Saccharomyces cerevisiae S288C: one gene and its partner. Changing the gene in region 1 together with any one later gene gives a genetic interaction. Each region holds a gene or a part of one and is shown in the gene's direction. Other genes may lie near its edges.

The links.
Region 2: mutations in CHP1 (region 1) and SKY1 together harm fitness more than expected from each alone (negative genetic interaction), as found in Saccharomyces cerevisiae (2 studies listed by BioGRID).

Annotation. Positions count from the first base shown.
Region 1 is NC_001148.4:123,101-127,367, forward strand, and holds CHP1 (ribosome-associated Tef1p biogenesis chaperone CHP1), read left to right. Parts: upstream 1-2,905; coding exon 2,906-3,346; downstream 3,347-4,267. Other genes in the region: NEW1 (New1p), read left to right, coding at 1-2,257; MMT2 (Mmt2p), read right to left, coding at 3,534-4,267.
Region 2 is NC_001145.3:697,364-703,068, reverse strand, and holds SKY1 (serine/threonine protein kinase SKY1), read left to right. Parts: upstream 1-2,029; coding exon 2,030-4,258; downstream 4,259-5,705. Other genes in the region: GUA1 (GMP synthase (glutamine-hydrolyzing)), read right to left, coding at 1-1,279; GAS3 (putative 1,3-beta-glucanosyltransferase), read right to left, coding at 4,699-5,705. UniProt on the Saccharomyces cerevisiae protein: Constitutively active kinase, specifically and sequentially phosphorylates serine/arginine (SR)-type shuttling mRNA binding proteins in their RS dipeptide repeats.

The DNA of each region.
Region 1 (4,267 bases):
TGAAGTTCGTGAATTGGCTGAAAAGGCCCTTAACGTTCTAAAAGAAGATGACGAAGCTGATAAGGAAAACAAATTCTCAGGCAGACTGACTTTAGAAGAAGGTAGGGATTTCTTACTTGATCACCTCAAGGACATTAAAGCTGATGATTCCTGTTTTGTCAAGCCTTACATGAATGACGAAACTGTTATCAAGTATATGAGCAAGATTTTGACCGTGGATTCTAATGTGAACGACTGGAAAAGACTTGAAGATTTTTTGACCGCCGTTTTTGGTGGTTCAGATTCACAAAGAGAATTTGTCAAACAAGACTTTATCCATAACTTGAGAGCTTTATTCTACCAAGAAAAGGAAAGGGCAGATGAGGACGAAGGTATTGAGATTGTCAACACTGATTTCTCCTTAGCTTATGGTTCAAGAATGCTTTTGAACAAAACAAATCTTCGTCTCCTAAAGGGTCATCGTTACGGTTTGTGTGGTAGAAATGGTGCTGGTAAGTCTACTTTAATGAGAGCAATTGCTAATGGTCAATTGGATGGTTTTCCTGACAAGGATACATTACGCACCTGTTTCGTCGAACATAAATTGCAAGGTGAAGAAGGTGATTTAGACTTGGTTTCCTTCATTGCTTTAGATGAAGAACTGCAATCTACTTCTCGTGAGGAAATTGCAGCCGCTTTAGAATCTGTCGGTTTTGATGAAGAGAGAAGAGCACAAACTGTTGGATCTTTATCTGGTGGTTGGAAAATGAAGTTGGAATTGGCAAGAGCTATGTTACAAAAAGCTGATATTTTATTGCTGGATGAACCTACCAATCATTTAGATGTTTCGAACGTTAAATGGTTAGAAGAATACTTACTGGAACATACTGATATTACTTCATTGATTGTTTCGCATGACTCTGGTTTCTTAGATACAGTCTGTACTGACATCATCCATTATGAAAACAAGAAATTGGCTTACTACAAAGGTAACTTGGCAGCATTTGTTGAGCAGAAACCTGAAGCTAAATCTTACTATACCTTAACAGATTCTAATGCTCAAATGCGTTTCCCACCCCCAGGTATTTTAACAGGTGTTAAGTCTAACACTAGAGCCGTCGCTAAAATGACTGATGTAACTTTCTCTTATCCAGGTGCCCAAAAGCCTTCCTTAAGCCATGTCTCCTGTTCATTGTCTCTGTCTTCTCGTGTGGCTTGTTTAGGTCCTAACGGTGCTGGTAAATCCACTTTGATCAAGCTATTAACTGGTGAATTGGTTCCAAATGAAGGTAAAGTGGAAAAACATCCAAATTTACGTATTGGTTATATTGCTCAGCATGCATTGCAACACGTCAATGAACATAAGGAAAAGACGGCAAACCAATATTTGCAATGGCGTTATCAATTCGGTGACGACCGTGAAGTCTTATTGAAGGAATCCAGAAAAATATCCGAAGATGAAAAGGAAATGATGACAAAGGAAATCGACATTGATGACGGTAGAGGTAAGAGAGCCATTGAAGCTATTGTAGGTAGACAAAAGTTGAAAAAATCTTTCCAATATGAGGTCAAATGGAAATACTGGAAACCAAAATACAACTCCTGGGTTCCAAAAGATGTTTTGGTCGAGCATGGCTTTGAAAAATTGGTTCAAAAATTCGACGATCACGAAGCCTCCAGAGAAGGGTTGGGTTACCGTGAATTAATTCCTTCAGTTATCACCAAACATTTTGAAGACGTTGGTCTTGATTCTGAAATTGCTAACCATACTCCATTAGGTTCTTTATCTGGTGGTCAATTAGTTAAAGTCGTTATTGCCGGTGCTATGTGGAACAACCCTCATTTACTTGTTTTGGATGAACCTACCAACTATTTGGACAGAGACTCTCTTGGTGCTTTGGCCGTTGCTATTCGTGACTGGAGTGGTGGTGTCGTTATGATTTCGCATAATAACGAATTTGTTGGTGCTTTATGTCCTGAACAATGGATTGTGGAGAACGGTAAAATGGTTCAAAAGGGCTCTGCACAAGTTGACCAATCCAAATTCGAAGATGGTGGTAATGCTGATGCCGTTGGTCTAAAGGCCTCCAACTTGGCCAAGCCATCTGTAGATGACGATGATTCTCCAGCTAACATCAAGGTCAAGCAAAGAAAGAAGAGATTGACAAGAAATGAAAAGAAGCTGCAAGCCGAACGTCGTCGTCTACGTTACATTGAGTGGTTGTCATCGCCAAAAGGTACACCAAAACCAGTTGATACTGACGATGAAGAAGATTGAAAGCCTACTGGCTAGTGTTTTATCTTCGCTAACTTCGTTTGTTTCACTCCATCTTTTTTCTTTAATTCACTCCTCAAATGGAGTTTACTACGTTGATAGAATTTAGGACAAGCATATGACGCTCTCCTTCCTTTTTTGTTTTCTAGGTTAATTCATTTTTCATACAGAGTAGTTAATATTGGTTCTTTTCATATATGTACGGTACGCAGATTAATTATGTAAACTTAAACTTAAGGGATCCTTTTTGATGCTAACAATTGTCGATGTTGAACTACAAATTTATGTAAGAGGTCGTTGTTAAGGATTATTATTTTAAAAATACACGAAGATTGATTATTATTTCTTACATGAGGTTATGAATCGTGCTCCAAAAGTATACCAAAAATAACTCCTGAACTGCTAGGCACAGTTTGCGATAATTTAAAGGGGTTAAATACACTTTTACTACTGGCTTTCACCTTATAAATCCCTCATTAAACTAAAGATGAATGAACATTGTTGAAGAAATTGTCCGGGTAAGAGGTTGTACTAGGGAGTGATGAACATCCATAAATTCTTCGACTAGCAGAAGTAATGATAATTTTCACCCGTTAAAGCTACATCTGGTTAGATGGACTAGAAGAACCACGACGAAACAATCATATAACAATGTCTACTTTTAATGCAGAAACCGCTGATAACTTGGAAGATATCGAGAAACAATTCGCTGTTGTTGCTGTTGAACAAGCGGAAACATATTGGAAACTATTAACAAGTGTTCCCGGTTCCAAGTTACGTTTGACTAAGTTTGATGACGAAATATACGAGAATTTTATGGAGAGATTCCCAGAATACAAAGATGTTGAAAGGGTCAAAAAGTTTACGGAGGAAGAATTAAAAACAAAAGAAGCCAAGGAAAGATGGAGAAAGTTCTTCACAATTTTTGAGAAAAAAATCGAAGACTATAACTTTGGTACTTTGTTGAGGACAGACGCTTCAGCCGAGTATGGTCAATTTACTACTTGTTTTGTCGTGAGACTACAATTTTACGCTTTTGAAATTGCTAGAAATAAACACGGCTTGAACGATTGGATTGTCGGTCAGAAATGAACATGCATATATATTTGTGATTGATTATATAGAATACATTACTTTATACAAAGGAACAACACAAGGCATTCTTCCTTGTTCAACATATATATATATACATATATATATTAAGCTCAGTAAATTGTTGAAATGTGAAAGGCTGTACTTTTGCTCTTAACTTTTGAAAAAATTCATCATTGAGAATTCCCTAATGTTTATGGGTGTGAGTATCGGCAGAATCAGAATGAGTATGAGTATGATTTGTTGATTTAGTGTCATGAGAGTGCTCCAAATCACCTTTAGAGTCAGAGGTTACATCAACAAACTCGACGTCCACCTTCCCCACGTTTGGCACCTTCATACGTAAATCCTCTCTTATAGTCGAAATAGCGTTTTCCAAAAATCTTATCCCAACTTCCTGACCTGAATGTAATACTGGCACTTCCAAAGTTGTGGTGGCACGAAGATTAGGACCGGAAGCTAATATAGTAAGGTCTCTAACATGTAACGACTGTTTGAGATCTAAGTCTGTTTTCAAACTGCCAATGCTGTCTTTTATGACAGATTCGATTTCTAGATAACGCGGATCAGTAGGTGGTATAGATTGGTCAACTAACTCCTTCAGTGAGGATAAGATACCTTGTCCACCTGTTTTTATGATCAAACCTGACACTACAAGCCCACCTAAATTATCTAAGGATTGAATGTTGAAAAAATAACTAGATGTGATAGCGACCAACGCTACCAACGATGTCAAGGAGTCAACACGATGATGCCAGGCGTTTGCCATTAGTACATTAGAATTTGTTTGGATTGCAACTTTCTTTGTTGCCTGAAAAACCCATTCTTTAACCAAGATAGAACCCGCTGCTATCCATACAGCATTTACATTAGTTGCCTGTTGTGTTAGCGACTGAGAATGGGAATGCGTTTCACCAATTA
Region 2 (5,705 bases), on another chromosome or scaffold:
CTTTTCTTGCTATTTCGACTTGTTCCTTAGTAACTTCACCTAGAACACGAATAGCAATACCTGGACCAGGGAAAGGGTGTCTCCAGACTAGATCATGAGGGATTCCTAATAATTCACCTAGATGCCTGACTTCGTCTTTGAACAGTTCTCTCAATGGTTCAATTAGCTTTAATTTCATGTTCTCTAGTAAACCACCGACGTTGTGATGAGTTTTAATGGTTTGAGAAGGACCTTTGAAAGAAATGGATTCGATGACATCTGGATAAAGAGTACCTTGTAACAGGAATTGAATCTCCTTACCATCTTTTGGCTTAATTTTTTCAGCTTCTCTTTCAAAGACGTGGATAAATGTGTTACCAATAATCTTTCTCTTCTTTTCTGGGTCAGTGACACCCTTCAATTTACTTAAAAATTCTTCGGAAGCATCGACAACCATCAAGTTGATACCTAAACCTTCGACAAGGGTCTTTTTAACGTTAGCAGCTTCATTTAATCTCAAAACACCGTTATCGACCAAGATGGCATGGAATCTATCACCGATGGCTTCTGTCATCAATTTGGATGCAACAGTAGAATCAACACCACCGGAAACAGCACCAATGACTTCAGCAGTTGGACCGACCAGTTTTCTGATTCTGTTTATTTCAGTGTCGATAAAGTTTTCCATAGTCCAGTTTTGCTTAGCGTGACACAAATCAACGGCGAAGTTTTTCAAAAGAGTCTTACCTTGGGTAGAATGTGTAACTTCTGGGTGGAATTGAATACCATAGATTGGCTTAGTTTCGTGGACAATACCACAGTATGGGGAGTTATCGGAGGTGGCAATGGTCTTGTAACCAGTTGGCAAGCCGTGCAATTTATCACCGTGAGACATCCAGACAGTAGAGTCGTTCATACCTTTGAATAGAGAGTTGGAATCGTCAATCACCTTCAAAGTGGCAGGACCGTACTCTCTCTTGTCACCACGACCAACTTGTTTACCATTAATCCAAGCCAATTCTTGCATACCGTAACAGATACCCAGGATTGGAACGTTCAAATCAAAGATAGCATGGTCTACGTGTGGAGCGTCTTCAGCGTATACGGAATATGGACCACCAGAAAGAATGACACCCTTTGGAGTCCAGCCCAACTCAGAGATCTTCTGAGTGCATGGCAACATCTCAGCATAGATGTTAAACTCTCTTAATCTTCTGGTAATCAAATGAGAGTATTGAGAACCAAAGTCTAACACTAAGATAGTGTCAAACATGTTAGAAACTTGTTCACCGGCAGCCATTGTGAATATTGATGTCGTTAGTTTATTTTAGAATATAGATATTACCTACCAAATGACCCAGGGAAGTTAAACTACAACGAACGCAAGCTAATTAGAGACTACCGTGACCGAAACTATAACTCAACTAATGTTTTATAACTGTGAAATGAAAATGAAACTGAAAAAATGATAAAAAAAAGAAATATTTTTTCTCGATGCTCATCGCCAAAGAAAAAAAAAATTTTCATTTCCTGCAAGCAAGAAAAAGAAATGACGGCATGAAAAGAGTCAAAATGTCGGGAACCGAAGCCATTGTAGGGGAGCGAGAGGATGAAAGCATATTCCTGTCACCAACGTCACGAAGAAATGAGTCGGCTACTTGACAACCTTGTTTTTTCGCTGTTAAACATAATTAAAGGTTCTATTTGGCAACACCTCATAATTATATCACTATCCACGTGATATTAAATCGTTACGGACGAGCCTATATTATTTCCGGATTTTTTTCTAATTTCTTTTTCTATTTTTCTAAATCTTATCGTCGTTATTTATTTGAAAGAGAATAAACAATGAGTGTGGGCTATGAAAGAGCTATAGAGAAGTCACAGGATATAGAGGGATCTATTTGTAGCTGGCAAGTTAATAGAGATTGGAAAACTGATTCAAAATTGTTAGATCACCTGGCGCTGAGAAATAATTGTGTTTTTTGGTATAAATAGACACCCCCTTTTGAGGTTGAAGAGATAGAGTAAAGAAGAAGTGTAGACATTAATGGGTTCATCAATTAACTATCCTGGGTTTGTGACTAAAAGCGCTCATTTGGCTGACACTAGTACGGATGCGAGCATTTCATGTGAGGAAGCAACAAGCTCGCAGGAAGCGAAGAAGAATTTCTTTCAAAGGGATTATAACATGATGAAGAAGGCGCCTGCTCCAACGAAGTCTAAACTGTCTTTGGCCTTGCAGACTTCCAAGTCATCCTCTAGTGCCAACGGTACTGTACAAGAGGATACTTCCTCGAAGACAGAAGATTTTTCTACAAAGAGCATTAAGAAAAAACCAGATAGCGGCGTTGAATCGCATGTGTCCATCCAATCGGATTCGGGGCCACAATCAGACTCAGATTTGGATTCAGATTCCTCTATCTCATCATGTGACGAAAGGAACGAAGAGTCTTTGAAAGATTACAGGCCGGGTGGGTACCACCCTGCCTTTAAGGGCGAGCCCTATAAGGATGCACGCTACATTTTAGTAAGAAAGCTGGGATGGGGCCACTTCTCCACCGTTTGGTTGGCAAAGGATATGGTAAACAACACTCACGTTGCTATGAAGATTGTTCGGGGCGACAAAGTTTACACAGAAGCTGCTGAAGACGAAATTAAGCTTTTGCAAAGAGTGAATGACGCCGATAATACAAAGGAGGATTCCATGGGGGCTAATCATATTTTGAAATTGCTAGATCATTTCAACCATAAGGGCCCCAATGGCGTCCATGTGGTTATGGTATTTGAAGTCCTCGGCGAGAACTTACTGGCTTTGATAAAGAAGTATGAACATAGGGGCATTCCATTGATTTATGTCAAGCAAATATCGAAGCAGTTACTGCTTGGTCTTGATTACATGCATAGGCGGTGTGGTATTATACACACAGATATTAAACCAGAAAACGTGTTGATGGAGATTGGAGATGTTGAGGGTATCGTTCAAATGGTCGAGGCACTGGATAAACAGAAGAGAGAGGCAAAAAGGTTGCAGAGGCACGTTTCGCGGTCTTCTGATATTACCGCGAACGATAGCAGTGATGAGAAATGGGCAGAATGCCAAACAAGTATGCCCTGCGGCTCAAGCTCAAATTCCAAATCTCGTTCTATAGAGAAGGACTTGTCAAAAAGATGCTTTAGAAGACCTAGACGTCATACAATTATCACAGGGTCGCAACCATTACCTTCCCCAATTAGTTCATCAAATTTCTTTGAAATGAGGGCGCACTTTTGTGGTAGTAGTCACAATAGCTTTTCCTCCGTATCTGGGAATAGGAACATTCCATCTTCCATCAATAATAACAGTATTAATAATGGCATAGGCATTAAGAATAGCAACAATAGTTTCTTAAATTCAGTACCACATTCTGTGACCAGGATGTTCATAAATGAAGACAGTAATGATAACAACAATAATGATAATAGTAAAAATAAAAATAACAACAATAACAACAGTAACAACAATAATAACGAGGACATAATGAACACACCTTTGCATGAAGAGCAGCTGGCAGACTCTTTATCTACATTTGATATTTCCAATATATCACAAAGCTCCGATACAAATGGTCCATATATTTCTAATACTATGGATTCAAATTCAAACGTCAGTACCGATATCAACTCCCCAGAAAATTTGATTCAGATCAAGATTGCTGATTTAGGTAATGCTTGTTGGTATGACGAACATTACACGAATTCTATACAGACAAGAGAATACAGATCACCAGAGGTGTTACTAGGCGCCCCTTGGGGTTGTGGTGCAGATATATGGTCTACTGCTTGTCTAATTTTTGAATTGATTACCGGAGATTTTCTTTTCGAACCGGACGAAGGTCATTCCTACACTAAGGATGATGACCATATTGCACAAATCATCGAGTTATTGGGAGAATTACCATCATACCTTTTGAGGAACGGCAAATATACAAGAACTTTCTTCAATTCAAGAGGGCTTTTAAGAAATATCTCGAAATTGAAATTTTGGCCCTTAGAAGATGTTTTAACTGAAAAATATAAGTTTTCTAAGGACGAAGCCAAGGAAATATCTGATTTTTTGTCGCCTATGTTACAGCTAGACCCAAGGAAAAGAGCTGATGCAGGTGGCTTGGTTAACCATCCATGGCTCAAGGATACCTTGGGTATGGAAGAGATTCGGGTACCTGATAGAGAGTTGTACGGGAGTGGTTCCGATATCCCCGGATGGTTTGAAGAAGTCCGCGATCATAAAAGACATTGATTACCTTTATACCTTTATTTTGCCCTTGCCTTTTACTTTTTTTTCTGTTTAACCTCTTTTTTGCATACTTTAGTTCTCTGCTCAGTTGTTTATTTTTCAGTAGTTTTTTTGCAATTTTTTTTTTTTTTTTTACCAAAGTAAATTTGTAACACCTAGTATAATATTCTGAAGTAACAACAAAAGATTATGCTGATTCTCCTTTCTTTTATCTTTAGCGGTTTTTGAATCCATACTCGACATTTTTTGATTTTATTTTTTGCACCCAATGGTTGTCCTGGTGAAGGATGATGGGTGTGATACCTAAGCGTTTTTGATGAAAAGTTTACTATTTAAAAACATATAAATTGTTTTACATATGTTAAGATAAAAGAACACAAAAAAATAAAACGGTTGAAAACGAAAACAAGTCCATGGATGTTTCAAAAAAATACATGAGCAGCTCAGAGTAGAGCAGAAATCAGACCTGCAAATAATGCAAGGTATCCAGACTGACTAAAGGAAACATTAACAATATTTCCGACGCCTTTACTTTTGGAGCTGCTTGAAGCTGAAGATGAACCGGTGCTTGAAGATGAGCCAGTGCTTGAAGATGGACTGGTGCTTGAAGTTAAGGAGCGAGAAGATGATTGTGATGTGGAAGCTGACTTTGCGACCGTTGTGGCTGTGACGTCTAGTTCGTTCAGTGAGTTAGCTTTGTCGTATGAAATAGTAGCTGAAATGGTATCATCTTTATTGTTTTTAATTGTATAGTTAAAAGTAGTTGGAACAGCATAATCAGTCAATATCTTACCGGTGTTGGTGCCATTAACACCGTATTCAATCATATTGGCAATTTCTGCTGGTTGAGAAGGCAAAGTGAAATTGTTCGTTCCAAAGCCAGAATAAATATTGGTGATGGCACTGTTATCGCACTTGTAGATAGAGTCAGAAGATATTTCGCTTTCTTTTGTTGTTGGCAATGAAACGTTCTTCAATTGTGATTCTAAATTAACAAAATCATCCTTATAAGTTAAAGAACCGCTATCATCAAGCTTAACCAAACCGTAATTATTAGCTTCTTCAGTGTATTCGTATACCAACCCACCAGAGAAGACGTTCTTTAAACCACCATACAAACCCTCAGAGACTTCGTCAAAAGTTCTTGGTGTATTTTTGTTGCAACCATACTCAGAAAATATCAACGGAATAACAGCATCTTCGAAAGTTGAGTTTAACTTGTCATAGCCAGAAGATTCCCAACTAGAAGTGCCAGAGCACCATTCATAAGTATTTAGGCCAAAGAAATCAGATTTAGATATGTCCAAATCATCATTGACTTTGTTTCCATCCAACGAATTACACTGCAAGTACTTGAAGGTTGCTAACCTCAAATCAGTATTGTCAGCAGCAGAATATCCGACTGGGATGCTTCTGTTCGCATGTTTTGAAATATACTGTTTCATATCTC